Callithrix jacchus: one gene and its partners. The protein of the gene in region 4 binds, or shares a complex with, the protein of the main gene of each other region. Links are inferred from orthologs where the notes say so. Each region holds a gene or a part of one and is shown on either strand. Other genes may lie near its edges. The genes, in order: KAT5, PFDN6, PFDN2, RUVBL2, MORF4L2, ANP32E and BRD8.

Region 1 (3,344 bases), on a different chromosome or scaffold from region 4:
CAGGGACCTGGAATGTTTGTTAGTACTAGAAGCCCTTCCTCACCCTCAGCTATAACCAGCCTCATAATGGACCTTAGCCCCCTGGTGATCCCACCCACATCCCATCTCCACTGCGGTCTGAGCTCCAAGACGGACTTGGACTGAGTTTCTTCAAGCATCCACTCGTGCTACCAGGCTGAGAAGTTCCTGAAGATGTGACCCCATCTGGGCATCATTTAACCAATAAAATTCCTCAAATGGACCATAACCTTGATCAATTAAAGCCTCTGTGTCTTCACCAGACCAGCTAGTACTTCCTGTCACCCAGGTCGGAGCTTGGTTATTCCAAGGGTTTGGTGAGTGGTAAGGTAGACAGAATGGGGGGTGACAGAGAGTAAGAGGCTTGGAAGGAGAAGGGGGCCTCAGGGTTGGGAAGGGCAATGAAGAGCCCATGTGTGATGAAGGTCAGAGTCCCTCTGGCTTTAAGAGATCGACCTTCCTGAATACAAGGAGCAAGCCATGCTTACATCTATTTGTTAACAGCATTTTGTACAACTGCCTGCCAGGCTCAGGGGAAAACTGGGGACATTAACCACTGGTCCTTGCCCAAGGACCTGTATCATGGCACACGCTACAAGATACATGAGTACCAGCGGCTCACTAACCTCCTGCCCATGGCCCCAGACAGGAGCATGTAAGTCAACTGAGTGGCACTTAAACCTTAGCCAAGGAGCAAACTGTGGGGCTGAGAACCTATCCCAGATGAGCAGGGCAGTTGGCCTGAATGGAGGGAACCCCAGTAGAGTGCCACCGTTATTCCTGGCTGGCTCCGCTAGAGACTGGGCTGCACAACCAGGGCTGGGAATCACAGTAGCCCGGCACATCTGCCTGTGAGGCACCGATGACGGGTGCACTTCCCCCTGGCCGCAGCACACATACTCACTGAACTCGATCAGCAGCTTGCCGTAACCCCGGCGCTGGTAGGGAGGCAGCGTTAGGATGCAGGCCACATTGTAGTCCTCTGTTGACTCCTTCTCCTGAAAAAGGGAGACAGGTGAGTGTGACGGAAGGGACCTGGCTCAGGACAGGGCACAGCAACAGCCTGGGTCGGCACTGACCTTGGAGAAGTAGCCCACAATGTGGAAGCCCTTGCAGTCATACTCTGTCATGACGTAGAAGAGGAAAGGGTCTGTGTCATAGTACAATGTCTTATGGTCAAGGAAACATTTGGCCAAAAGACACAGGTTCTGGGAATAACTCTGCAAGAGAAAAGGTTTGTCACCACTCTGGGTACCCGGCCTTGAGCCTGGCCAGTGGTTCAGGGTCGACCAGAAGCTTCACTGTTTGTGCTGAACCCCAGGCCGACAGGTGATGACTGTTCCTTCCTGGCAGGGCCTGACCCATTCCACCAGCTCGCAGCTTAGGCAGGGCTGCTCCTCAGTGTTGGAAAGCTTGTGCACCAGAGGTGTGATGGTGCCTGGATGCCTCCCTGCTGAGTCCGACAATTTTCCCTGCCTTGCTCTGCACACCTCTATCTAAGCTTGGCCCGGAGACTCCACTGCCCCTTAACATTTTTGTTTTGTTTGTTTGAGACAGAGTCTCACTCTGTCACCCAGGCTGGAGGACAGTGGTGTAATCTCAGCTCATTGCAACCTCCACCTCCGGGTTCAAGCGATTCTCCTGCCTCGGCCTCCATTGTAGCTGGGACTGCAGGCAAGCGCCATCATGCCTGGCTAATTTTTGTATTTTTAGTAGAGACGGGGTTTCACCATGTTGTCAAGATGGTGTCAATCTCGACCTCATGAACTGCTCGCCTTGGCCTCCCAAAGTGCTGGACAGCAGTCAACAAACTAATGTGTCCAAAGTCAGACTCCAACCACAGCTTCTGAGAGCTCTCCCTATCTGACAATCTTGGGAGTCTAGCTGCTAAAACAACCTAACATTCTACATCCATAGTCACACCTCCTGGGAACTGATCTGCAATTCTACGACAGTTAAAGAATTCTGGAATTTAACTGCCTTAGGGGTTACCCCAGCAAAATTATGAATAATGCTGCTTTATTTCTGCACAGAACTTCTGCATTTCAGAGACTGTGGGTTGTTTTTTTTTTTTTTTTTTTTTGAGACACCCAGTGGTGTTATCATGGCTCACTGCAGCCTTGACTTCCCAGGTGATTCTCCCAACTCAGCCTCCTGATTGCCTGGAACTACAGATGTGCACCATCACACTAGGCTCTTTTATTATTTATTTATTTTTGAGAGACAGTCTTGCTCTGTCGCCAGACTGGAGTGCAGTGCTGCATTCTTGACTCACTGCAACCTCTGACTCCCTGGTTCAAGCGATTCGCCTGCTTCAGCCTCCCGAGTAGCTGGGATTACAAGCACATGCCACCAGGCTAATTTTGTATTTTTAGTAGAGACAGGGTTTCACCATGTTGGCCAGGATGGTCTCAATCTCCTGACCTTGTGATCCACTCGCCTTGTCCTCCCAAAGTGCTGGGATTCCAGGGTGATCCACTGTACCCAGCCAATTTTTTAAAAATTTTTAGCAGAGATGGGATTTCTCTATGTTGCCCAGGCTGGTCTTGAAATTCTGGGCTCAAGTGATTGGCCCACCTCGGCCTCCCAAAGTGCTGGGGTTACAGGTATGACTCACTGTGCCCTGCCAAAAATTGCTGCTGGGTACTGCCACTTGGATGCCCACGTCCACATTAATAATTACAGAATGGTGGTTAACACAGCATCTTCTTCACCTGAGCTCTGTCCCTTATAAAAGCCTTCCCTCATCCTTCCTTCTCTGCCTCTCAGCCACATGACCTTGCCTCTCACAAAGACCATCTCTGTGCATCCATGCCCACTCCTCAGAATGCCACTGCAAGAAATTCCTTTGTCTTCCACGTCACGGCTCAAAGTTAACCTCTGTGAAGCTCTGCTGACCACCTCCTTTGGGTCCTGCTAACCTACTCTCTGTTTCATGACATGACACTGGAATCGAAGACGTTGTTGGTATGTCTGTCTCCCCGTGGACTGTAAGCTGTCAGAGAACAGAGACTGTCTCATTCCTGGCTACCAGCACCTGCCAGACAGCAGGAACTCAATAAAAATGGGCCGAACCCATCTGCTGGCTCAACTGGTCAGTTTTCCTGAGCAGGAAGAAACTGTCATTTGACTTACCCCACAGCCCCACTGCCTCTCAGGCACTAACCTTGTTCTTGCGTCCATCAATCTCAAAGAAGGAGATGGTGCCTTTGCGGTAAATCTCGTTGCCTGGAGGATGTCGGAGGTCACACTTGGTCTGGGGAAGAGAGGAGGATCAGGGACGAGGGCAAGGTGGACAGTGCTGGGAAGGCAGCCTCCCTGTACCC
Region 2 (3,570 bases), on a different chromosome or scaffold from region 4:
GTATAGCTTCCCACCTTCCACCAGTGCAGCACACAGGTAGTGTTGGAAAACAGCATCAGTTTCTGATTCTTGGCCATATCCTAACATGTGAAGGGCCAAGCAAAGGCCTCAAGGCTCTGAGCCCCAGGGCAGACGGGGATGGCAAAAAGTAGGTCCTTGCAGGAGTTCCTTTTCCCACTCGGGTTTCTATCACTGTGACAACACTAAGATAATAAACCAAAACACTACCTGAATTCTACTCCCCTGTACTTGCAGTGTGTTTGAACTGGCTGCTATGAGTGGGGTGGGAACTGGCTGAAGGTAGTTGCCATTGAGCAGGAAGGGGCACAGTGTTTTCTATCCCCATGAACGGAGCAAAAAGTGAGTTACTTGGTGAACAGTTTCCTCAAACAATGCTGCAAATGTGTATAAAACAATTTTTGGACAAAGAAATGGCTGAACAACCTTATGGACAACATATAAACTTAGGAGGACTTATAACACCATAAAGCATTACATGCTAGGCTTTTAAGTCAGTTTAAGCTATATTCAAGCAAATTCTAGGAAGACAGGCTGAAAAGTACTAATAGAGATGTCAGGACTGCTGGCAAGGAGGGTAATCACATTTCACCTTGGGGCCTCATGTTAGAGAACTGTATTCTTCAATTAAACTGACATTCCTCACATTCACAAATGTAAATGCCCTTCTAAAAGAATCATGCCAACCAAGATGAGGGAGAGTTAAAAGAAGGTTTGAGGACATTTGGGATTTCACTTTCAAGAAAGAAAACACTGTGCCACAGAGAGATTTCAAGTGCAAGAGTTTGGACCTGAGGGAGTAATATAGGTGGTGTGTGTTAAGGTGGAAGGGGCTGTGGAGATATGCCTGATCAGGAAACAGAGGCAGGTGTTTTTGCATTTTATTAGCTACAGTATAGATCCCAGAGCTGCCTCATTCCCGCCCCTCCCCTTCCCCCACCATGGGGTCAGGCCTTGCCAGGAGCCCCTGCCTTTGCTGCCTGGGCCCGCTGGAACTCCTGCTGCAGCTGAGCAAGGGTCTCTCTCTGTTGCTCTGACTGCCGCTCAAGATCCCGGAGCTGGGATTCGTATCGCTTACTGAGGAAAGACAAGCAGAAAAGGAGAAATTAGTGGGACTTACTATGGAGGGTGCTAAACTCAAGAAAGAGACTTCTCTTTCTTGAGATCTAGGGAAGGGTGCAGAAGGGGTGTTGGAAGGGGTCTGGAGGAACTGGACTAGGGGCGACTATGGAGAGCTGTTCTGCAATGGTTCCTCAACTCCTCTACTCCAATGGTTCAGTTAGACTCACATTTCAGCTGTGATATAGTCCAGCCTCTTCCCCACTGTGGCCCGAGCCTCTCCCAGCTCCTGTTTGACCAGCACCGGACCCAGAAGTTTAAAGACCACGTTGGACCCATCCAACAGGGCCAGTTCCTGATGGAGGGATGGGACATATGTAATCAGAACCATGGCCAGTACAGGCCCCTCCTCGCCGCACAAATCCCAGTCCCTCACCTCTTTCACGATGTTATTTTCTGTTAGTTGTGCTTCAAGTTTCTGCCTCCCCGACATGGATTTACTCAAGTCTGGGGATGAGAGGAAAGGCAAGATTAGAAACATCAAATGTGCCACCAATCCCCACAATCCTAGTCAGGAGGAAATGGATCTGAGGAAGTAAACAAGGATGGGGGCAGCGGGTCAGTGAATAGGGACGAGTACTGACGCGGGAAAGTCTCCGCACGCGACGGCCCAGATGGGGCAACAGACCTTATCCTAGTATGGTTTTGGGTTGTGAGTGCATCGGGCGAGGCCACACTGACCCTGCTCCCTTACCCTTCTGTAGCTGTTGATATTTCTCCACTTCTCCTTGCAGCTTCTTTTGAATCAGCTCCGCCATGGCGGGGATGAAAGCTTAAGGGGAGCGAGAGAAGGGCGCTGGATCTTACTCTCTGGAAGGTACCTGAGTTCCCCTTTCTGATCTGGCCTGCGGAAATGATGGCACTCTTAAGAGGCAGCCCTGAGGGGGACCGCAAACTCCCCACGTCCCGGATATCGACTCCACCCTGTTCCCAGGAGATGATGGGCGAAACGCGAAACCCCGAACCCCTCAACCGAAATCCTAACCTACTCACGTTCTCCCTTTAGTAGTAATAAACCCGGAAGTAAACAAAGAATGCTGGGAAAAGACTGTGTCGGGAAGTTTCTTTCTGATCCTTGATGGGAAGTGTAGTTCTGACATGTTTAGTGAGTGGCGTTCTGCTAAAAAGACTAGACTCGGACATTTTTAGGCAAGACGGGGAAACTAATCCAGAAAAAGAAATCGCACCGCTACTTAGTCCCTGGTCCTGGACCTGCCCTTTTTTTTTTAAAGTCTCTCTTGTATAAGCTGTCGCTCGCGATAAGGTGCCAAGAGCTGTTCCGCCTCTCTAAAGAGAGCGTGCCCTCACTCAAGATGGCGTTAAGAGAGCTTCAGATTTGGTACGCTGCTGATTGGATGACGGACAGAGGGCTTCCGGAAGTTTTCAAGGCGACTGTAGGGCAGCTGAGAGGAGTTTTGCACGTGGATCGCCGTACGGGTGGGCGAGATGGAGACGGCCCCCAAGCCGGGCAGGGATGTCCCGCCCAAGAAGGACAAACTGCAGACCAAGAAAAAGGTAGAGGCCTCTCTGGGTGGGAAAATAAGTTTTTAGTTGCGGAGTCGGGGGGCGTGGCGTAGGTGCGGAGTTATTAGGGCTACTGATCTGCCCGTAGAAACCTCGGCGATACTGGGAGGAAGAGACTGTTCCGACCGCAGCCGGAGCCTCTCCAGGGCCTCCTCCTAACAAGAAGAATCGGGAGCTCCGTCCCCAGGGAGCAAAAAGTACTCACATCTTAAAGAAGTCTCGGATCTCTAAGAAGCCTCAGGTCCAGAAGAAACCCCGAGAATGGAAGAATTCGGAGTCCCAGCGGAGCTTGTCCGGGGTGAGCGTGGGACCTAATGGGTGGCGAGGCAGGTCGAGAGTGAAGGGGTTGGGGTCAATTTAAGGCTGCCTGCTAATTGCGTCCTTCCTTCCCCTAGGCCCAGGACCCATTCCCAGGCCCCGCCCCCGTCCCTGTGGAGGTGGTCCAGAAGTTCTGTCGCATTGACAAATCCCGAAAGGTGAGGTCCAGCTGGAGAGTTGGGAAGTGTTGGAGGCCGGGAGTGTCTGAGTGAGTTGGATGGAGGCTGAGCCAGGTAGCCCTCCTGTGACCCCACTTACTCTGTGGTTCTTCTACCACTCCTGTCTACCAACAATGTTAAAGCTACCACAGTCTAAAGCCAAAGCTCGAAGCCGACTTGAGGTGGCGGAAGCTGAGGAAGAGGAAACAAGTATCAAAGCTGCTCGTTCTGAGCTGCTGCTTGCTGAGGAACCTGGGTGAGTGGGCCCTAATCTGGGCCACCCCATTCCCTGCTTTATAGGACTCTCTCGTTTTTATGTTGGTACACTTGTTTCATATTGGGAAACTTTACTGCCATCCTAACCCTTGCTTTCAGGTTTCTGGAAGGGGAGGATGGGGAAGACACAGCAAAAATATGCCAGGCTGACATTGTG
Region 3 (4,668 bases), on a different chromosome or scaffold from region 4:
GGGTCAAGGAAATAGAGTTGAGAAACAATTCTGGAGAATCTAAGTTTACGTGGAAGAGGCAGGCTAAAGGGTTATAAAGTCTCACCTTTGCTGTTCAGCAGCACATGACAGTTGTAGATTTTCTGAGTCTGCTCCCAGTCTTGGCCACGCTCATGGAAACCACCCAAGGACAGCCAGAGTCCACATTCCCTGGGGGGAGGGGACACTGACTTCTCAAGGCTGTACCCTCATATTTGGCAATCTAGGGGCACTGCCCAACAAAGATTTTACCTCTCCCTCCCCCATTCCCTGATACCTGGCAAGCTGGGTGTATTCTTCCAAAAGTTTCCCACCCAGTGGTTCAGACAGGTGTAGCGTCTCTGCAGGGTCCCGTGCAATGAAGTCAAATGCTTCAGGCAGGAAAGCCAGGCAAGCACCCAGTCTGGCAGCCTCTCGAACCAGCTCAGCACATGTTTTAAAGTTCTGTTGCTTGTCTGGCGTTGATGTTACCTGGCACACAGCCACGAGGGGCAGTTTGCAGGAGGAAGAGGAGATAGCCATGGCTCTGGGCCTGTGAACAGCATAGACAGGATTCTCAGATTTCAGTGCATGAGGAAACAAAATTAATGCTAAAGGGTGCAAGGGAGGAAAGCTGGACTTCCTTTTGATCCTGCTCTTACAGGCCCAGGGCTAGTAGGGCTTACTAATCAAATGTGGATAATTGACAGTCCTGTGTCTCCCATTATCCATTTAACAAACTGAGCATCTAAGTGCCAGGCACTGAGGACACAACAAAACGTGTTACCTGGGCTGAGCACAAAGTACAGAGAGTCGAGGTATCCGGAGTCCAGGACACAGAAAGGACAGGAGTCGGTGAAGAGGCCTGGTGAGGAAGCCCAGCCTGAAGAAGGTGAGAAATGAGGGCACCAATCCCTTCCTTGAGCAATAAATTTCTTGGATTCTCTGACTTCTCTTTATACTGTGAGCCCGAATCAGGGCCCTGCCAGCAAAAACCTTCTGGTCTTCAAAACATTTTTTACTTCTGTAAGTACTTATGGGCTAAGGGACGGTGGAAAGATGGAGGAAGGGGCTCTGCTCGCCTCCTGAACAGATCAATTTTCAATGATCTCACATTAAACTGAAGCCCTTTTCCTCTGACAAACGTTTCCGCAGTCCAAAGTCATCTCCGGGAACTACCCTTGGTTTTCCCAAGACTCTCTTCTTGACTGTGCACTTGCACAGATTTACTGACTCAAAGCGTATTTCCCCTTTCACCAGAATCTCTCAGGAGGAAGTTCACCCTAACTCGACTCCCACCCCTCCAAGGTGGGCAAGGGGCAAAGGAACCCAGGCCCCACGCCGCGCCCCGCTCTCCACCCCCCGCTCCAGTTGGCCCGTCCCTCCCCGCCTCTCCCAGGGGCAGCATCTCTGTCGCACAGGTTAAAGCACCGCAAGTGGGATTCCCTGCGGCCGACGGGATAGGGAGTAGGTCCTACATGAAAATACTGCCAAAAACATTCGCAGGATTCGAGCCGATCCGGAGGGCGGCCTGGAGCCAGAGGCGCCGGGGCGAGTGGGCGGTAACTCGCAGGCCGGACGTGACGCAAGGTGGGGGGGGTGCTGAGCTGCGCCGGCCGGAAACCCAGCAGGCGACGAAGATGGCGGAGAACAGCGGTCGCTCCAGCAAGAGCAGCGTTAGCGGCGCGGGGAAGGGGGCGGTGTCCGCAGAACAGGTGAGGAGTGGAGAGCGAGATGGAGGGTCCCCATCTGGGTCTGGAGTATTTGCGAGAAGGGGGAGCCTGTGGCTTGTGTAGGCCTTTACTCCAGTACTACATGTGCGTTGCACCCAGAGAGGGAAGGGTCCCCGGAGAAGCTAGTCGAGCCCCTTGGGAGAGGTAGACGGTTGGGCAGGTGAGAGCCACGCCTCCCTGGGGTGTTGGGTGAGCCTGGGGGAGGGGAAAGCCCTGACCTGCAGGGTCTGGGAAGATGCACAGGTCTGAGGAGAGATGGTTCGCTGCTTTCTCCATATCTCCTCAGCACCTCCAAACAGGTTATGTCTGGGCAAGACAGCTCTAAAGTAACTCCCCATAGGATTAGTTAACGGGCTGGTTGTGTAGTCTGTTACGTGATCCTGAACTCACTTTGACAATCGCCGTCACGCTGCAGAGCCACGTGACTCACATACTCGAACAGCCTAGTGTTCCATACTATATGGATTCGAGAGTTCGGTACTAGATCGAATTTCTTTAGAGACTAGAAACCCCTTTCTAATCCCAGTTTGCATTTTCCCCAGTGCCTAGCTTCGGGAAACGTTTAATAAGTTAATCACAAAGCCCTTGTGTCTTGAGAACCGTGTTTTGCCAAGTGGAAAAATAGGAGTTGGAGGAAATCTGCCCAGTGAAAATGAAAAAACAGCTATTTTTTTTGAGACAGAGTGTTGCTCTGTTGCCCAGGCTGGAGTGCAGTGGCACGATCTCGGCTTACTGCAAACTCCGCCTCCCGGGTTCAAGCGATTCTTCTGCCTCAGCCTCCCGAGGCAGGGGCCATCGCGTCCGGCTAGTTTTGTATTTTTAGTAGAGACGGGGTTGCACCTTATTGTCCAGGCTGGTCTCGAACTCCTGACCTTGTCATTCGCCTGCTTTGGCCTCCCAAAGTGCTGGGGTTATAGGCGTGAGCCACCGCGCCCGGCTCTTCATCAGGTTTTGTTGAACAGTTAATACAGACAGAGGTATCAGCATAAAGATTTTTATTTTTTGAGACAGAGTCTTGCTCTGTCGTCCAGGGCGGAGTACAGTTGGGTGATCTCGGTTCAATGCAGCCTCCACCTCCCTGATTCAAGCAATTCTCCTGCCTTAGCCTCCCGAGTTGCTGGGATTAAAGGCAGGTTGCCCAGGCTGAGTGCAGTGGCGTGATGATAGTTCTCTGCAGCCTTGAAATCCCTGGGTGATGAAGCCATCCTCCTGACTCAGCTTCCTGAGTAGCTGGGACTATAGGCATAAAACATTTTGAGTGGCTAATTAAAAAAAATTTTTTTTGGTAGAGATGGGGGGAGTTCCACTTTGTTGCTTGGGATGCTCTTGAACTCCTGGCCTCAGGTGATCCACCTGCCTTGGTCTCCCAAAGTGTTGGGACTGCAGATGTGAGTCACCTTGCCCAGCCCCCTGTGATACTTTTTAAGGATACCATGTGTCAGGCACTCTGCTGGGTACAGCAATACAGATACAGTAGTTCCCCCTTATCCAAGGGGGACATGTTCCAGCACCCCAGTAGATGCCTGAAACCTGGGGTAATATTGAACCCTATGTTTTTTCACATACCTATGATAAAGTCTAATTTATATAATAGGTGCAGTAGTTAATAAAATAGAACAGTTCTAACAATATACTATAATAAAGATTACATGAATATGGTCTCTCTCTTTCAGAATATTTTATTGTACTGTACTCACCCGTCTTGTGATGATGTGAGATGAGAAAGTGCCTTCCTGATGAGATGAGATGAGATGAGATGAGATGAGATGAGATGAGATGAGATGAGATGAGATGATGAGATGATGAGATGATGAGATGATGAGGTGAATGACAGCATTGTGATGTAGCCTTAGGCCACTACTGATGATAAGTCAGAAGGAGAATCATCTGCTTTAGGTGATCTCACATCATTGAGCCATGACGATATTGAGCAGGAGAAGTTGACTAAAGGGCAGGTAGCATATATAGCATGGATAGTCTGGGCAAAGGGATGATTCACATCCTGAGCGGGATGGCTCGAGATTTCATCACGCTATTTTCCTAACAGCATGAAAGTTAAAACTTATGAATTGTTGGCCAGGTGCCATGGCTCAGGCCTGTAATCCCAGCACTTTGGGAGGCCAGGGTAGGTGGATCACCTGAGGTCAGGAGTTCAAGACCATCCTGGCCAACTTGGAAAACCCGTCTCCACTAAAAATACGAAAATTAGCCAGTCCTGGTGTTGGGCACCTGTAATCCTAGCTTCTCAAGAGGCTGAGGCAGAGAGAATCACTTGAACCCAGGAGATGGAGGTTGCAGTTAGCCAGGATTGCACCGTTGCACTCCAGCCTGGGCAACAGAGTGAGACTCTGTCTCAAAACAAAAAAACAAACAACCTTAAGAATTATTTCTGGAATTTTCCATTTTCAGACATTGGATAACTCTGGATAATGAGAGACTATTGTAAATGAAATAGACTTTGTCTTCAAATCGCTTTACTCACAGACTCATTTGAGAAAAGATGAATCAAACAATAAAGATTTATAATGTGCTACACAATCCCTTCATTATGGCAGCTAGAGGAGAGACCCCTAACTAATCATGAAGTTGCAGGACTGTGGGCAGGGGCTGGAAAAGGGAAGCTGTGGTATAGTAGGATGGCAGAGCATTCTTATGCACTAAGTTTGAATTTCATTTCTACCATTTACTATTTATATTTGACTTCCCCTATGTTACATCTTGGCCTCCCCAATCTGTAGAATCACTGTGCAAAACACTTTGCATGTATTGTCTTGCCTAATACTCTAAATACAGTCATGAGTATTTAGAGTATTAGGCAAGACAATACATGCAAAGTGTTTTGCACAGTGATTAGAACATAGTGTGTGTTTAGTAAATGCTTTTGTTTTCTAGAGAAAATCCTTCAGCTCAATTCTAAAGGATGAGAAAAGTTAGTCAA
Region 4 (4,160 bases):
TCTCCTCCTAGTCCTTCATCATGCTGACTTAGACCCACCCCTACGAATGTGAGTAGAGGCTATTTGCTGACACCACAGGCTTCCTCATACATTCTGAAATCAAACCACTTCCACTACACAGCTGCCACCCATCGCCCCTTCAACCCCTAACAGCTGCCATCCTCGCTGGAGCTTTAGGAATTTGGGCATCTGATTCCCCTTTCAATACTCCCTCTCACCTATTCGCCCTGCGTTTTCTTTTCTTTTTTTTTTGAGATGGAGTTTGGCTCTTGTTACCCAGGCTGGAGTGCAATGGCGCGATCTCGGCTCACCACAATCTCCACCTTCTGGGTTCAGGCAATTCTCCTGCCTCAGCCTCCTGAGTAGCTGGAATTACAGGCATGCGCCATTGTGCCCAGCTAATTTTTTGTATTTTTAGTAGAGAGGGGGTTTCACCATGTTGACCAGGATGGTCTCGATCTCTTGACCTCATGATCCACCCACCTTGGCCTCCCAAAGTGCTGGGATTACAGGCGTGAGCCACCGCGCCCGGCCTCACCCTGTGTTTTCAATTCTGCGTCGCTCCAGGCCTTTTCTTCCCAGGTGGCTCCTCTAACTGTATGTGTTTGCCACTAACTGGACAGGCACCTGTCCCTTAGTCTTCCTTATTCCTAAGATCCAATTTGCCACTGGTAACGAACACCTGCCTGTCCCCCTCATGACACCTACCCGACGAGAAAGAGCTATGCAGCTAACTCCATTCCTCGTGGGAACAGGGCTTGCAGCCTCCTCGGTAGGCCTTGGAACTGGCACGGCAGGGCTCACCTCCTCCGTCACAGCATTCCGCAGTCTGTCTGCTGATTTCTCTGCCCACATTACCAATTAGCTAATACGTTGTCTGCCCTTCAGGCTCAAATTGACTCTGGCTGCAGCTGATCTCCAAAACCATCGTGGCCTCGACTTACCGCAGAAAAAGGAGGACTCTATGTTTCTAAACGAAGAATGTTGTTTTTACTTAAAGCAATCTGGCCTAGTGTATGATCATATCAAAAAACTCAGAAGTTTGCTGACCAGGCAAACACCTCCGCCGAACCTGCCTGGCCATTCTCTAACTGGAGGTCCCGGCTCCCTCCGATCCCTACTTCTTTAACACCCATCTGTTCGGACCCTGTGTCTTCCGCTTACCCTCCCAATTCATCCGAAACCGCATCCAGGCGATCACAAATCGGCACCTGCTGCTCTGGACAACCCCACAATACCGCGCGGGGCCTCAAAGTTCCCCAGCAGCTGAAGCATGTGTGAGGCCAAACGTCGTGTCCAGACCTTTCCTATTTTCGTCCCTGTCCTGTTCCCACTTCTACTCTGTCTCCTCCACTAAAAAAAAAATTTTTAGGTGTCCGTGCGGTCCCATCACGCACAAAGTAGCCTTGAGACACTTAGCCCTCACCCCCCGAAACCTGTCATCACCCCCTCTTCTCTCTTTCTCTGTCTATATAAAAGGACAGGAACGTCAGGTCTCCATGTGCAAGCCTGGACCCAGAAAGTCTGAAGTCCTGCCTCGGCTGACTGTCGTCCCCCACCAGCCCCAATCACCCAGCGGAGCTTCCCCAGGACAAGCCTCTCACCCCACCCTGCCATCTTAACTACTCTTCTGCCTTACCACCTGCCATTGTAACTGAACTTATCGTAATGTATACGCCTTGCCCCTACCCCCCGCCACTTAACTGATCTTACTCTGCAACATCCCCACCCCCCGCAAAAAATTGCCCCAACCTATCAAATCAATTCCCACCCTTGTCCTTTCTCGGATTCGGCCTGCTTGCACCCAAGTGAGAAATAAGATGGCCTTGTCGCCCACACCCACACAAAGCCTGCTTGGAAGACTCCTTATTCAATGTGTTTAACACTCGGTACCATTGGACACAAATAACAGCTACAGGAAAGAAGCCCACACGTGAAAGACACATACTGTATGAGTCCATCTACACGAAGTAGCCACAACAGGCAAATCCATATACAGAGAAAGACCAGGGCTGCCTAGAACTGAAGACAGGAGGGTATGGGAGGATTAGAGGTGACAGGTAGGAGGTATGGGGTTTCTTTTTGGGGTGAAGGCAATGATCTAAAATTGTGACAATGGCTGCACAACTCTGTGAATATACTACAAAATGCTGAGCTGTACATTTTAAATGGGTGAATTATATAGTATGTGCATTGTATCTCAATAAAGCTATTAAGAAAAAAACAAGAGGCTGGGCATAGTGGCTCCTGCCTGTAATACCAGCACTTTGGGATGCTGAGGCGGGCAGATCACTTGAAGTCAGGGGTTCGAGACCAGCCTGGCCAACATAGTGAATCCCATCTCTACTAAAAATACAAAAAACACAAAAATTGGCCAGGCGCAGTGGCTCATGCCTGTAATCCCAGCACTCCGGGAGGTCAAGGCTGTGGGTAACCCTCTACATAGGCGCCGAGGGAGGGGAGCTAAGCAGAATCCTGGCACAATTAGTGCCTGAAGAATATCTCAGTCTACAGTGTTACTGCTCAGTTATTCCCTTTCGCACAATCCTTTATATATAATCATACATTAGTTCATAGAATGCGTGCCTAAAGAATATCTTACCACTCAGTTATTTCCCTATATGTATATGATTATACCTTAGTTCATAGAGGAATGCCTAGAGTGGACACAGTACAGAGCATTAATTAAGGAATAAGCAGCTTATAATCAGAGGAATGTCTGGAGCAGACACAGTTCAGAGCATGATTTAAGGGACAAACAGTTATGCCAGGACAAGAATCCATGGCCCAGGCAGCAGCGTTCAGTATCGTAAAGATACCTGCTGTATGGCAGGCTTGGGGCGAGAGCCACTCCTCCTGATAAAGGAGTTGTAGGACCTTGCTCCAGTTCTTGTGGAAGGCTGCCCTCAGACGGGCAATCCACCTTGGTGACTGTGAACTTATCAGCTCTTGCTATGGTGCTGGCTCAAAAGCATCCTCCTATAGAACTCACTGGAAGCTGCCAGCAGGTGGCGGTAGACCCTGACAGCTTTGTCACTGCTGTGTTACTTAAAGCATCCTCATACAGACACTCTCATAGATAAGAGATATTGCACACTGCACCCTCTTCGCTGCGCACGGCCCACCTCCATGACTCGGTGACCTAACGGGGGTGGACCCCTTACTGCACAAGGCCTGCCTCCTTGCCTCAATGACCTAATAGGGGTGGACCCCTTGTTTATTGCTCACGACCCTATCACTATCCTTAAAGATGACTTCACTCACTACCCTGCCCCCTAACCTATACTCAATAAATACAGACGCTTCTGGACATTCAGGCCTCACCTGTCTCTGCTTACAGGTGGTGTGCCACCACTCCCAGCCCAGCTGTGCTTTCTTTGCACTTCCGTGTCCTGTCTCTTTCTTGGATCCTGTGCCTCAGCACAGCATTAAGGGACACCTCACGACCCTGTGGGGCCCTTAGCCCTACAAAGGCAAGCAAATCACGAGGTCAGCAGTTCAATACCAGCCTGGCCAATATGGTGAAACCCCATCTATACTAAAAACACAAAAAAATTACCTGGGTATGGTGGCAGGCACCTGTAATCCCAGCTACTTGGGAGGCTGAGGCAGGAGAATTGCTTAAACCTGGGAGGCTGAGGTTGTAGTGAGCTGAGATCACACCACTACACTTCAGCCTGGGCAAGAGCAAGACTCTGTCTCACAAAACATAAATAAATAAAAATAAAAAATAAATCAGCTGGGAGTGGTGGCACACACCTGTAATCCCAGCTACTGGGAGGCTGAGGCAGGAGGATCATTGGAACCTGGGAGGTGGAGGTTGCAGTGAGCCGAGATCACACCACTGCACTCCAGCTTGGGAGACAGAGTGAAGCTCTGTCTTGAATAAAAGCAAAACAAAACACTGCTGGATGGTGGATCTTTGCATGTCTGTTACATTATTTTCTTGTCAGAAAATAGTTCAGAATAGTTCATAATTTCTTTTTTATTTTATTTTATTCATTTATTTTTAGGCTCAGGGTTTCACTATGTTGACCAGGCTGATCTCGAACTCCTGACCTCATGATCCTCTCGCCTCAACCTCCCAAAGTGCTGGGTTTACAGGTGTGAGCCACCACGCCTGGCTAATACTTTGTAATTTCTAACAAGGAAAAGGAAGC
Region 5 (3,992 bases), on a different chromosome or scaffold from region 4:
GCTCTGTGTCCCCCACACTTACCAACACAGACTATACAAAAGGTCTTCCTTGCCCTCTGGCTTCCAGTTTAGTCAAAGGGAAATACCCAGGAGGTGATGGAAGGAAAGAGAGTGAAGTCAAATATTTGTTCCCCCATTCCATTTTCTTTTCAGGGTCGCTGTGAGCTGACCACATCCTGAAGATTACAGCTACTGTCAGGTGGACCCTTCTACACAGCTGTATGCCATTCCAGTAACTCCTTCCTTCCCACCCTCTGCTATCCCCCTCCCTGCTTCCATTCCTCTTAGCCTCCTTTGCAGAGGGGTAGTAACACTATGTTATGGCCTGAATTGTGCACCCACCAAATTCATGTTGAAGTCCTAATTCCCAATACCTCAGAATGTGACTGTAGTTGGAAACAGGGTCTTTACAGAGATAACTAAATTAAATAAGGTCATTGGGGTGGGTTCTAATCTGATGACTAGTTTTCTTTAAGAGATTAGGACACAGATACAGAGGGAAAAAAGCCATGTGATGACAAGGTGGATGGCCGTGTAGAAGCCAAAGAGAGGCCTCAAAAAAATCAACTGGCAAAACCTTGATCTGACTTCCAACATCCAGAACTGTGAGAAAATATTAAGCCAATCAGTCTGTGCTTTGTTATGGCAGCCCAAGGAATACTTTGTTATGGCAGCCCACATCACAACCTTACCCCTCTGGTGACAACTCAGGGAAAAAAAAATCCTTAACTTCTCTCAAATCATCCATTTCGGAGTCCCATTTATTTATTGCTGGGACCCTGACTGATCCAAGAGAATTATATGATTCTTATTTATATTTGTTCTGTTTTCTAAAATTTCTACAATAACCACAAAATACCAGCCTCAGTAACATGAAAGGCACACTGCAAATTACTTGCTTTGAAATTTAGAAACAAATTTTATTTAAGATCTGAAATACAATTCCTAAAATATCAACTTTTCCAGAAAACCGTGGCTACACAATAATGCATTGCCTCTATCATGTTAGAACGTGCATTAGACTCAAATACAAAAACCATGAAACAAATCACCATCCTTCAACAATTTGAGCAAAGATAGAATGCCTAAGAACAACATAGATGGACTTGCAGAGGATGGGCTGTTTTACTTCAAGCACCATAAAAAAAAAAAAGAGCACAAATGCATGGGTTTTCAGGTATATACATTAAGTTGAACCTTTGGCACTAGGAATCAGGGCGTTTTTTCACGTAGCATTAACACATATTAGAAAATTGTGTAGTGTCAAAGGGATAGGAACCACCAGCATTCAAGCAATGTTGTCAACTAGGCAATAAAATGTTCTACTGAATGTTTCTTCTTTGTTCTAATTACTGCATACACTGGTAGCAACTTTGAAACGAGAAAAGGAGCTTACACTCCTTTTATTTTCTGTTTAAAACAGAACAGAAAACAAACTGAAACATAAGCCCTGTGATACATTAACGATTTTAAAGAACATCAACTTTACAAGAAAAAGACTAAACAGAAAGTGTTTACAGATACAGGACAAAAATGGTGAGCTGTCTGTAGACGCTCACAGGGCTTTGCGGTGGTACTCAGCAGAAGCCACTTTGTAATCACTGGCAGTAAAGAGAGATGCAGAATTCTTTGCCAGATATTTTAGGAAATCATGCAGATAGCCCAACAATAATGCAAGGCTTTTCTCATCAAGGGGTGTATAGGCCAACATTGCTCCAATTCTTACAAATAATCTCAGTAGGTGTGGTGCTCCATAAACCTGGGACATTGGAGCATCAGGGTGAGCCAAAAGGATTTCAGCATACTGGGGCCTCTCAAATTTGTAGAGCAGCTGAGTGCCCAACATCACATTGAAATATTCTTTTATTCCTGCCACAACTTCATTAACCGCATATTCCTTATTATCAACATTTCCCTGCGATTTCTTGCAATTTGCATACTCCTCCAGAATTGCATCTACATTTTTCTTAGCAGGGAGTTGGAACAGCTGCTTCTGCCTGGTAACTAAGTCCCAGTCCTCAACGAGCCATGGTTTTAATTCTTCAGGAATCTTCACTTTAACTTCCATTCTATTCTTAAATGCCTCCTCGCTTTCAACAGTGGGGTCAGCCCGGGCCCTTTTCTTCCGAGGGGGCTGAGGTGCTTCACTGGTACTGCCACCGTCTCCGTTTCCAGGAGTCTTCTGTTTGTTCTTTCTGGTCTTCCTCACGGATCCTGAAGGGGGGTTCTCTGCAGAGCGACCCCCCCATCTTCCTGGGAGAGCTGGTTCCAGATTTTTCTGCTGGGGACCAGCTGTCTTCTTTCCTGAGGAGGCCCCTCTCATCTTACTTCTCTGCATGTTGCTTCTAGTTGGTTTTTTAAAGTTGTCTTCTTCTGCAGATTGTTGTCCACGAGGTTGAGAACCCTGCTTTCTGGAACTCATTCAACCCTGTTTTTATTCCAACCACTGTAATATATAAAATATTTTACTTGGTTGTTTTCTATGGCAACCTTTATGCTTCGTAAAGGCCCATCAGAGCATAACACATTCTAACTCTCTTAAAATCTGGATTTCAAATCCTATTTTAGGACCCTTCGTAAGTGATTTTTTTTAACCTCCTTTCCTTCTCTTCTCTCTGTTCCTCACTACCAGCCACTACTCTCATCTCACCCAAATACTCATCATATTTACTCATAAATTACTTTCTTGATGCCACTCAAAAGATAGGAAAGCAATTTTAAAGAAAGAAGAAATTAAGTGAAAAAGAAAGTATAAAAGGCAGTGGAGCTGAAATTTAAGACTTTTGAACAGGAGAAATGACAATGTGGAATAGGGAAGTTTATATTTAGTTGCCTAGGGGCAAAATGAGTAACAGTAAAGGTTCTTGTATAAGTCCAGAAAGGCCTGAACTAGGATGATGGCAGAGTCAAGAGAAACTGATGAATACAGCAAGCAACCACGAAGAACAGAGTAACCAAAGGAGGGAGAAATCTGCATTTTCAAGCCTGGGTAATCAATGAATTTAATAAAAGCACTAAATTTAGGGCTTAGTTTGGAATCAGAAATAAAATGACAGAACATAGGTAATTCATCCATTCATTAATTTATTCAGTTTGTCATTATACATTACTGCATATCTGCTTTGGGACAAGTACTATGGTAGGTGCTAGAGATCCAAATATCTAAAGTGACAATTATAAAACAGTAAGGTTAGTATAATGATAGTTATAGGCACAAAATAGTTTGGGAGCAGACAGAAGAAATGGTACATGACCATCAGTGATTGTTGAAGGTTAAAAAAAAAGATTGGTGAGGGAGGAGTCAGTGATGACTCCCAGGTATAGGTGATTAGGTCATTAATATTATCACCAAATTATAATACTACTCCATTTACAGGAGGAGGAAATGGATATTGCGTGTGAGGTGTACAGTTAAACATAAAATTTTAAAGCTCAGTTTAGTCCAGCTAACTGGGTACTCCCCACAAAGAAATTAAAGCTTGTGTGAGAAGTAAAAGCCAGAAATGGAGATCTGAGAGTAAACATCATATAGCTGGTAGTGGACACTACGAGGGCCAAGAAAATCAGGGAAAAAGAATTTCAAGTACGGAATTCTGGAAAACCTAAGGACTAAACGCATTTAAGGGATGGGCAGAGAGAGAGACCACAAACAGAACAAAAATGTTAAGAGTAGCCATAGGAGAATTAGAAGAATGTTATTTTGGATGCCAAAGAAGGTAAGAATTCCAAGAAGAAAAAGGTATAATCTACAGTGCAAAGTGCAGCAGGGAGTGCTAGTAAGATAAGGATGCAAAAAATAGACTTCCATTATTCTTAGGGTGTGACAGAGGAAACAATTCCTTTGACTTACACAATCTTCCTTCTTTCCCTTCCAAGAACTCCTAGTGATTTCCCAGATGAAATCTTATAAATCTTCTGGGATGGTCTAGAAGGGTGAAGTGGGAGATACAACCTAGAAAGAAAAGCAGGTATCTGCAATGAAGATGAACTTT
Region 6 (4,717 bases), on a different chromosome or scaffold from region 4:
GAAGAATAAAGAAGAAGAAACTGTTTAATCACTTTTTTTTTTTTTGAGACGGAGTTTCACTGGTTACCCAAGCTGGAGGGCAATGGCACGATCTCGGCTCATTGCAACCTCCGCCTCCTGAGTTCAAGCAATTATCCTGCCTCAGCCTCCCGAGTAGCTGGGACTGCAGGCGCGCACCACCATGCCCAGCTAATTTTTATGTTTTTAGTGGAGATGGGGTTTTACCTTGTTGACCAGGATGGTCTCGATCTCTTGACCTCGTGATCTACCCGCCTCGGCCTCCCAAACTGCTGGGATTACAGGCTTGAGCCACCACACCCAGCCTGTTTAATCACTTCTTTAGTTTAAACCCCCTTCCCTTTGGTTGATAAATGCCATCATAACTCAAAAGAAACCTCCTTACCCTTCATGAAGAAATGTTAGAAAACTTCTGGGAACAGCCCAGAGGGTGTCATTTCTTCTCACATCCAGGCCAAACAGTATCACCCAGAACAATACATTCTTAACAAAATGTTACTTCTCCCTACCACTGTGGTATAATAGCATTTCTGTGCACTTCTCCCCATTCCTGAGGAAGTGGGGCTGAATTCCCTATTAGGTAAGAGTTGTAGTAACAAACTTCCTGGTGTAGGCCTGAATGGCCTTAATCTTTAACGGAAAGGCCGAAGACTGTAGTTCTCTACACCCAAGGCGAAAACTTGTTTGAGGTATCTGTGAGCTAAAATTTAGCAACAAGGAATCCCACCTTCTCTATTTGAATATGACTCTGAGAAAATTATTTCTGTGGTCAGAGAGAGCATCTTGAGCTCCGTTCTGGAGAGGAGGAATGGCCCAGAGGTCAAGAATGACATGCCTAGGCCCATAGTTTGTTTGTGACAGGGCTGTGTACTGGTTCAGTGTTCTGACTCCACTCCGTTTAGCTGAGGGGTGGGGGCTGCTACATTTGGTGTCAGAAAACCAGTTCCTCCACTTGTGTAACTCATTTCACCGCCCTGAGACTCCCATCTGCTAATTTGGAATCTACAACACAATCTACCTTACAAGTAAGGAGGAAAGTAAATAACAAACGGGAAAAGTGCTTTGTAAACTGTCTATACAAATATAAGAGACCGTTATTACAACAGAGCGGAAGGAGCTGAAAAACGGCAACGTCCTGAACACCCCAAAACTGGCAAAGAAATTACTACAATCACTAAGTGAAAGAATCCTGGCGGGGCGGGGGGTGTCCAATTTTCCAACCCAAGCCACCAAAAAGTATTCTAAACGTGTGCTTCTGAGAGACAGCTTTTAAAGTTTGAGTTTTTTTCCTGAAGCCTCTAATAATAAGCTCTAGAAACAAGCTCTCTCCGGGATGACCCTGATATCCCGTATCCCCTCCCTGGCACCTGCCAATTTCAGGAAAACAGGGACCTAAAAATAAAAAAATTTAAAAAGTGTGAGTTCCCACTCCGCACGCCGGACGCGAAAGCTCAGAGCTTGCTCATCTTCTCTGCGGGTCTGCACAGACACCACCCCAGTTATATGCTATCGATCGGTCGGTCCAGCTCTACACACCTCCCTCATATTCCAATTCTAGAGCTTATTTCAGCAAGACTGCTGCTTTCCTCCGCGAGCCTCCCCGCTGGCCACCCGCCCCGCTCTCGCGACCTGCCGCTCCGGCTGACGGGAAACCCCACGGGGGGCGGAGACTCCCCAGGGGAAAAAGGGGTCGCCTCCCAGCTCGCGCTGCCGTCCCGCGTTCGCCCCGGGTAGGTGAGGCCCAGGAGGCAACCGCGAAAACGAGGCGGAAACGCCTCCCGCCCGACCCCAGAAAAGTTGACCGCGACCCCGCCTCGCGTGGCCCCTCCCAACCCCGTCTCTTTAACTAAGGCGACAGCAGTGAGAGCGCATCATTTAGTTTCGCCGAACCCATCTTTGAAGCACGAAACTACTACGTCCCTTTATGCTGAGTTTGGTGAAACCGTCTCCAGGGATCAGAGTTGCGGCCACACGACGTGCCAAATGTCGTTGCACCGCGCGGGGAAGAAGCGGATTACACCTCCCGTCCCCTCCCCACCTCCGGTCACTGCGACGAGTCCCCAAACTCGCCCGCGGTCGGAGAACCTGCCGCTGACCCAGATTCCGCCGGGTGGCGGGCGGTGCGCGCGGCTTCCCGGAGGAGTGGGCGCCTCCGGAGCAGACCGCGCGCGGACCCTGCGAGCGACCCCAGCCCGCCACCGGCGCGACGTCGGACGCCCAGGGCCTCGAGGCCGGGGGAGCCCACCCCCAGAAAAGATGAGTTGGCCGCACTGCAGAAAAGTTGGACTAACTTCTCAGGCGCCGATGGCTGCGGCAGGGGCCGAGTGGGACTGGGGGTTGCGCCCACGCCGCCGGCCCCGGGGAGGAGGAACGCCGGGAGCCGAGCGGCGGAGCGCCCCCACCAGCCCGCTTCCCGCCCCCACGAGGCCCGGACGCCCGACTCGATGAAAGCCGAAGGAGCTAAGCTCCCATGCACACACAAAAACGCCCCTAGAAACTTCAACCCTTCGCCATTTTAAGTAGAAGATTTTAATGATTTAAAACTTAAAATTAAACAATTCTCCAACCCTAGCCCCGGGGGGTGGGGGCTAACTTATTACTCCATCCCCGCACATCCACCGGGATCCCCAGAAACCCGATCCTCAGAATACAGGACTGATGGGGAAGGGGTGGGGGCTGAGTCATCTCACCTCCTCCGGGGCTCTGTTCCTTAACTCCAGGTTAATCTTCTTCTTCATCTCCATGTCCTCCTCTTGCTCTTCAGCTACTACTCTCCTTCCTTTCCCTTTCCTGCCTTTCCCACCACCCCCAACCCACAATTTTTAGGATTCAGAAATGAATGAAAAGGAACGCAAATATAAACGCCCACTACCACCAGATAGGTGTGAGGGAGAAAGAAGAGAATAGCAAATGGAGTCCAAGAGTTGGGACTCTAACTAAGCTGCCCCCACCTCCTTGTCCACACACTAGCGCGCGCACACACACGCACGCACGCGCGCACACACATACACACACACACACATACGCACACACCCGCAGTTCCTTCTCCTTCAATGGCTGCTCAGAGACTGAGCCTCCATGACACGGCACCGCCAACCCCCTGGCCTACACTCCACCCACCTCCCAAACGTATTGGTTGATTCTTCAGCGTCACATGATTCCATTGGGCAATGTAAACGTCTATCAGTCTTCAGGGAGGACCTGGACCAGAAACTCCGTATCTATTGGCTACGATCAAGCGCGCAGTTAATTTCGATAGGTCCAGGAGGGTGTACGTCCCGGAGAAATGATTTTGAATCCCAGTAGCCCCCCTACTTTTCTTTATGTAGTTGGCGCGCTTTCCCTAGGCACTCGGACGGTTTTGTTGCCTGTTGGAGTTGGTTTTTGGTTTTTTATTTCTTATTCTGTTGTTAGTGTTAAAGAGGGAGAAAGCATCCTTCCGTGCCCAAGTTGCGATACTGATAATTCACCACATGGCACGCACCGGCTGTTGGCCGTTTTAAAAGCACAGACTCTGCTTTGCAGCCAAGGTGTACAGCAACGCGCGCATCACATTAAAAAGATGACTTCGTGGCATTGTCCTGCTGGGGTCAGGCTTTTCACAGAGCCTGACCTTCCGTGATGCAGAGCCAGAGCCGAGATTTTAAAGATGGTAGTTTAACACCGTAAAAGACAACAATTTTGAAAGCAGCTGGGTGAAGTATGTACGTTAATAATATTTAAATAAAACGATCCTGGAGGAATTGTTACTGAGCTAATTGTTGCTGTAATAAACACTAAGACCTTGGCGGAAAAAACAACGCTGGCCTAATGAAAATCAGACATTAATTAGCATAGAAATGGCACAGCAATGCCTGTCTAATTTCCCTTTGGTTGGTTTCCATGGAAATCTGTAGGTAAAGTAGTCTTTTAAAAGTGTTTATCCTTCTCTGCCTTTTGGCTAAGATCAAGTGTAGAATCTGTTCTTATCAGTTTACTATCTGATGTATCTTCTCTCCGAGTCCAATATATTATATGGATTTTTGAAGCAGGAAGACGGACTAGGAGCTTGCTTGTCCACTTCATGCATGGACCTGGTATTACAGTACAGAACCCCTCAGGGGATTCAAATTTGGTGTTCAAGACACAAGAAGAAAAGTTTATCTATGTGGGATGGGATATGAAAGATTAAAATAAGAATTATCTTTTGGCCGGGCATGGTGGCTCACATCTATAATCCCAGCACTTTGGCAGGCCGAGGCGGGTGGATCACCTGAAGTCAGGAGTTCGAGACCAGTCTGACTAACAGGGTGAAACCCCATCTCTACTAAAAATACAAACTATTAGCCGGGCATGTTGACGTGCACCTGTAATCCCAGCTACTCCAGACGCTGAGGCAGGAGAATGGCTTGAGCCTGGGAGGCAGAGGTTGCGGTGAGCCAAGATCCAGCCATTGCACTCCAGCCTGGTCAACAAGGGCTAAACTCCATCTCAAATAAATAAAGAAAATGTAAATGCTTTAAAGGAAAACAAAACGATGGTTGTCTCTACAATGTTTCCTTTGAATTCCCTGCAAAGGAAATTTTGTGAAGGCGAAGAGAGGGGGAAAAGAGTTTTTAGTATAAAATGGCATCTCTGGCTGGGTACGATGGCTCATGCTTTAATCCCAGCACTTTGGGAAGCCTGGGCAGACAGATCGCTTGAGGCCAGGTGTTCGAGA
Region 7 (4,160 bases), on a different chromosome or scaffold from region 4:
TTCGGATGATTATCTTTGGATAGCCTAATTAATAAACTTGATTCCTGTATGTTCTCCTTGGCTCTGGTATCCATATCCACTCTAAATCACTCTAACTGTATCAAGCGAGGTTTCTTAAGGACTGTGTGATATTCACAAACTGTTTCATATGGGAGGCACCTGTTGCTAGGAGGCACTCCCATTATGCCTGACTGTCCACTGCAGCTTTTCCCCATGCAACTCCGTACCAGTCTCTTATCAGAGAATAACGATGTGACTTTACTGAAATTCATTAAAAAGTAGTGCTATAGGGAAATCTAATCACATGGCAAGAGGAATAAAGAAAAGTCTGAAATACCTTTATCTGGCTTCCAAAAATAGTCCCTGATTCTTCTTTCAATGAGTCTGCAGAGGAGAGAAAGACTACCTGAAGATTTTTCCACCTTAGCCTTCCTATGGACCGTAATCCCCTGTAGCTCTCCTTTCCATGCTGACCTATTCTACTTCCTCTACTTGCCCACAACCCACAATCCCTCAGAAGCCAAAGCAAGTGATTTCAAGCTAGTTTAAAGAGGGCTATATTTACCTGAGATTTCAAACTTGTGCTGAGTCTCTGCCTCTAAAGGATCTTCAATGGGATTTGAGACATGTGACGGAGACAACATGCTTTCAGGGGATGCCTGAAAACCAAAAAAGAAAAAAATACCCTAAGTACTGGTAAATCATTATAGCTCACACAACTTTATTCTTCAATGATAATGAGACTATAGAAGAAATTCTAAGTCCTACTCATGTAATTTGACGCCAATGGTAACCTTAACAGGAATAAGACAAGTATTTATAGCACTAATCACAGCCTATGGGCTTTGGACACATCAAACATGTAGAACTCTGGAATGTAACAGGAAAACAAAAAGCCTAAGCTGTCACTTCTTACCTAAGGTATAACCCTCCATAAGCTGTCACTTCTTACCTACAGTATAACCCTCCATCTTCCCAGCCCCGGATCTTTATTAAATACCTCTGTCTTCACAGTTGTAAGTGGGGTCTCATCGCCTTTCCCAATGGCAACATCTGCTTCAATAATCTCTCCAACTGCAGTACTTCCTGGTTCCTCATCTAAGTCCTGACTCCTGAGGTCTGGTGGCTCCATACTTGTGGCTGGAACAACTCCAGCTACTATTTCGGCCCCTGAAATGCCTGGCTCTGGTTCTGCAGGTTCCACCTTGATCTCTGCACTGGGCTCCCTGATGTCCACCAGTTCATGTATTCCTTTGTTTTCCGTTTCCTCAAAGTCCATTCTCTCTTGCTTGACCGTCATTTCCGGTGCAGGGAGAGGTACTGGCTTGTCCCTCTCCTGCTGGATAGGATGCTCCCAGGGGCCAGGCAGGGACTGAGGATCATCATTCTCTTCACAAAATGAGAGTGCTGCTTCCACTGCTGCCACATCCAGCACTTCAGGATGATCATCTACCTGTCCCACAATACACAAGCCTATTGAAGTCACAGAAAGAAGCCCAAGTCCCTCAGTTTTGTTAGCACCAAATGTGATAGCTTGAATTTGTAGCTTTCTCTCAATTTTCTCCAATATAGTGGAGGCAAACAACGAATAGGCACGTGTCCTGTGCAAATCAGTGACATGGATATGCCTGGGGAGATGACTAGTATGTTAGCATCAAGGGGCTACAAAGATGGAGATGGGCAGAAGTAGGAGAGTTGTTTAAGTAATTCTTACTATAAGTAGCAAAGTGGCCGAGCATGGTGGCTCACGCCTGTAATCTCAGCACTTTGGGAGGCCAGGAGCTCGAGACCAGCCTGGCTAACACGGTGAAACCCCGTCTCTACTAAGAATTCAAAAAATTAGTAAGACATGGTGGCATGCGCCTGTAGTCCCAGCTACTCAGGAGGCTGAGGCACAAGAATTACTTGAGCCTGGGAGGCAGAGGTTACTGTGAGCCAAGATCATGCCACTGCACTTGAGCCTAGATGACAGAGCAAGACTCTGTCTCTAAAAAAAAAAAAAAAAAAGCAGCAGTAAAGCTAAGCTGAGAAGAGAAGCCTACATAAGACCCATGAGATTATTTTATTTGGGGCTTTGCTGAATAGTTACCTTGTCCTCAATGATGGCAATGATGTCTCCAACAGTCTCAAAATCCAGCTCTTCACCTGTGTAAGACACAGCAATATCCATCTTCTCAGCCAGATCTAATTCTTCCTTCCCATCTATGCTGGGAGCCTTTGATCCTCCAGGGGCCTCTGCTACCCCTGATCGAAAACATTCTTCTTTGATAGAATTGATGATCATAGATATTTCACTGCTGTCCATGGAAACAGTCACAGTATGTGGATCCCCCACAGCCTCCATGGGAACACAGTTATCGGGTTGACTCACTAACAGAAAGAGAAAACATCTCAGAAGCTTACTGGGTACAAAGTGACCACCTTGAGATCACATCAGCACTACAGACAGATGTTAAATATCTAAACACTTAAGGTCAGAAAGAGTCATTATACATGTGCCTATGTTTTCTTCTCCTCAGTTTTATTTATAAGGGTGAGAACATATTTTCAAGCCTGCTCATATCTGTATACTTAGCCTCTTCCCTGCAACACATAAATGCCCACCCATGTCTTCTCACATCTATTTCTAAGGATATTTATTTCTAAGGATAAAGATGGCACATGTCTATGTAGAACAGAGAAGAAACATCTGAATTGGAGCTGATGCTCTTGGTCATTATTCTCTAATGAAGCTCAAAATCAAATTTTAGACCTTGTGGCTGCTCAGGGACGCACCTGGAGCTACACTTTCAGTAGTGGAGACAGCCGGAGCAGAGGATGGTGCTGGCAGCGCAGGCATCATGACAATGGTAGCCTGGGACACAGACTCTACAGGGGGTGGCACAAGTTTAACTGGAGGCTCACTGGCAACAGTGGTGAAGGAAGCAAGAGGTGTGGTGAACTGTGTAGGACCAGCTTCTAAAAGCCGGGAAAGAGTGGGAGCACCTAACATATAAAGAGGTACACAAAATGAAGTAAGAAGAAAGCATATAAACAAGAAGCAATAGCTACTCAAAGACTCAGCTAAGAAATTCTTATGGTCTCAAAGGATGAGAGCAACTGCTGCACTGAGTAAGTTCATCATCTATATCCTTACTCTCTCTAACCTTACTTAAGATCTTCCTCCAAGTTAGGAATGAACCAAAGCACTAGAACACACAACATATATAAAAAAATGGGTGGTAAGGCCAGGTGCAGTGGCTCACACCTCTGATCCCAGCTTCCCAGGAAGCTGAGGCAGGAGAATTGACTGAACCCAGGACATGGAGTTTGCAGTGAGCTCAGATTGTGCCACCACACTCCAGCTTGGGCAACTGAGCGAGGCTCTGTATAAAAAAAAAAAAGGGTGGTAATTTTTCCTCAGAGGAAAATTAATCACCAAGAAATAAAAAACTGGTATTAATAAATATGTCACTTCTGCTGAAGTTCAGCATATTGTAAATCACCAAGTTCAACACCATTCAAATACCAATAAAGTTTATAGAATATTTTATGGAGCTTTTTGTCTTTCCCTGCTTTACACTTTTTTCTTCATTTAATTCTTATCACCTCTTCATCAAATATATACATTACAATTAATAAAAAAAGTAAACTGAGACTCAAAAGCTAAGTTACCTATACAAAGTCACAAAACCAATGTGTGGCAGGTCTGAGATTCAAGCCCAGTTCTCTGGTTCCAAATCTTATTCCACTATTCTAGAATCTCAGGTATCTCTAGTACCTTGATTTTGCAAGCCACAAGAAAGCAGCTCAGTATTACTCTTAATATCTATGCTGTGGTCAATCAGGGCTATCAATACCTTGAAGACAGACAGCTTTATAATCAGGAGCACTACATTGTTTACCAGGTAAAGTAGCTTCAAAAACAGTTAGACAAAGTTGGGCTTTAAACTAGGACTAACAATTACTTAGTAAAAAACACTGAAATTGAGGTCAGTCAATGTCAAGTTCAACACCTCTGAAGTAGATAAAGGAAAAGTGGTAACTTACCTGAGGCAGCAGGGGAGGCTGCAACAGTATTGGGTGTTTGCTGTATCTCCCCACCATGTATCATGGGAAGGACCCCGCCTACCTCCAGGAGGACACCTGTACTGTTCAGGTGGCCAGAAGCCACAGCCATT

The links.
Region 1: RUVBL2 (region 4) and KAT5 share a complex: the UniProt entries of both Homo sapiens proteins name them as parts of the SWR1-like complex. The link is inferred for Callithrix jacchus from reciprocal best matches to the Homo sapiens genes RUVBL2 and KAT5.
Region 2: RUVBL2 (region 4) and PFDN6 share a complex: the UniProt entries of both Homo sapiens proteins name them as parts of the PAQosome complex. The link is inferred for Callithrix jacchus from reciprocal best matches to the Homo sapiens genes RUVBL2 and PFDN6.
Region 3: RUVBL2 (region 4) and PFDN2 share a complex: the UniProt entries of both Homo sapiens proteins name them as parts of the PAQosome complex. The link is inferred for Callithrix jacchus from reciprocal best matches to the Homo sapiens genes RUVBL2 and PFDN2.
Region 5: RUVBL2 (region 4) and MORF4L2 share a complex: the UniProt entries of both Homo sapiens proteins name them as parts of the nuA4 histone acetyltransferase complex. The link is inferred for Callithrix jacchus from reciprocal best matches to the Homo sapiens genes RUVBL2 and MORF4L2.
Region 6: RUVBL2 (region 4) and ANP32E share a complex: the UniProt entries of both Homo sapiens proteins name them as parts of the SWR1-like complex. The link is inferred for Callithrix jacchus from reciprocal best matches to the Homo sapiens genes RUVBL2 and ANP32E.
Region 7: RUVBL2 (region 4) and BRD8 share a complex: the UniProt entries of both Homo sapiens proteins name them as parts of the nuA4-related complex. The link is inferred for Callithrix jacchus from reciprocal best matches to the Homo sapiens genes RUVBL2 and BRD8.

What each region holds. Positions count from the first base shown.
Region 1 is NC_133511.1:122,807,719-122,811,062, reverse strand, and holds part of KAT5 (histone acetyltransferase KAT5), read right to left. Parts: intron 3,275-3,344; coding exon 3,185-3,274; intron 1,239-3,184; coding exon 1,098-1,238; intron 1,017-1,097; coding exon 923-1,016; intron 254-922; exon of another isoform or gene 24-253; coding exon of another isoform or gene 1-23. UniProt on the Homo sapiens protein: Catalytic subunit of the NuA4 histone acetyltransferase complex, a multiprotein complex involved in transcriptional activation of select genes principally by acetylation of nucleosomal histones H2A and H4.
Region 2 is NC_133505.1:41,531,147-41,534,716, reverse strand, and holds PFDN6 (prefoldin subunit 6), read right to left. Parts: upstream 2,167-3,570; 5' UTR 2,131-2,166; exon of another isoform or gene 2,123-2,130; intron 1,983-2,122; 5' UTR 1,896-1,982; coding exon 1,832-1,895; intron 1,585-1,831; coding exon 1,514-1,584; intron 1,433-1,513; coding exon 1,308-1,432; intron 1,096-1,307; coding exon 966-1,095; 3' UTR 883-965; downstream 1-882. Other genes in the region: WDR46 (WD repeat-containing protein 46), read left to right, coding at 2,584-2,652, 2,750-2,959, 3,057-3,137, 3,281-3,393, 3,513-3,570. UniProt on the Homo sapiens protein: Binds specifically to cytosolic chaperonin (c-CPN) and transfers target proteins to it. Binds to nascent polypeptide chain and promotes folding in an environment in which there are many competing pathways for nonnative proteins.
Region 3 is NC_133519.1:20,975,740-20,980,407, reverse strand, and holds the start of PFDN2 (prefoldin subunit 2), read left to right. Parts: upstream 1-1,611; 5' UTR 1,612-1,637; coding exon 1,638-1,712; intron 1,713-4,668. Other genes in the region: NIT1 (deaminated glutathione amidase), read right to left, coding at 86-189, 296-550, 785-880, 1,476-1,477. UniProt on the Homo sapiens protein: Binds specifically to cytosolic chaperonin (c-CPN) and transfers target proteins to it. Binds to nascent polypeptide chain and promotes folding in an environment in which there are many competing pathways for nonnative proteins.
Region 4 is NC_133523.1:42,837,073-42,841,232, reverse strand, and holds part of RUVBL2 (ruvB-like 2), read right to left. Parts: intron 971-4,160; 5' UTR 856-970; coding exon 709-855; intron 1-708. UniProt on the Homo sapiens protein: Possesses single-stranded DNA-stimulated ATPase and ATP-dependent DNA helicase (5' to 3') activity; hexamerization is thought to be critical for ATP hydrolysis and adjacent subunits in the ring-like structure contribute to the ATPase activity.
Region 5 is NC_133524.1:99,729,847-99,733,838, forward strand, and holds the end of MORF4L2 (mortality factor 4-like protein 2), read right to left. Parts: intron 3,953-3,992; 5' UTR 3,851-3,952; intron 2,447-3,850; 5' UTR 2,423-2,446; coding exon 1,556-2,422; 3' UTR 896-1,555; downstream 1-895. UniProt on the Homo sapiens protein: Component of the NuA4 histone acetyltransferase complex which is involved in transcriptional activation of select genes principally by acetylation of nucleosomal histone H4 and H2A.
Region 6 is NC_133519.1:10,158,665-10,163,381, forward strand, and holds the start of ANP32E (acidic leucine-rich nuclear phosphoprotein 32 family member E), read right to left. Parts: upstream 3,089-4,717; 5' UTR 2,763-3,088; coding exon 2,709-2,762; intron 1-2,708. UniProt on the Homo sapiens protein: Histone chaperone that specifically mediates the genome-wide removal of histone H2A.Z/H2AZ1 from the nucleosome: removes H2A.Z/H2AZ1 from its normal sites of deposition, especially from enhancer and insulator regions.
Region 7 is NC_133503.1:36,572,990-36,577,149, forward strand, and holds part of BRD8 (bromodomain-containing protein 8), read right to left. Parts: coding exon 4,030-4,160; intron 2,986-4,029; coding exon 2,776-2,985; intron 2,371-2,775; coding exon 2,090-2,370; intron 1,454-2,089; coding exon 1,001-1,453; intron 660-1,000; coding exon 566-659; intron 385-565; coding exon 338-384; intron 1-337. UniProt on the Homo sapiens protein: May act as a coactivator during transcriptional activation by hormone-activated nuclear receptors (NR). Isoform 2 stimulates transcriptional activation by AR/DHTR, ESR1/NR3A1, RXRA/NR2B1 and THRB/ERBA2.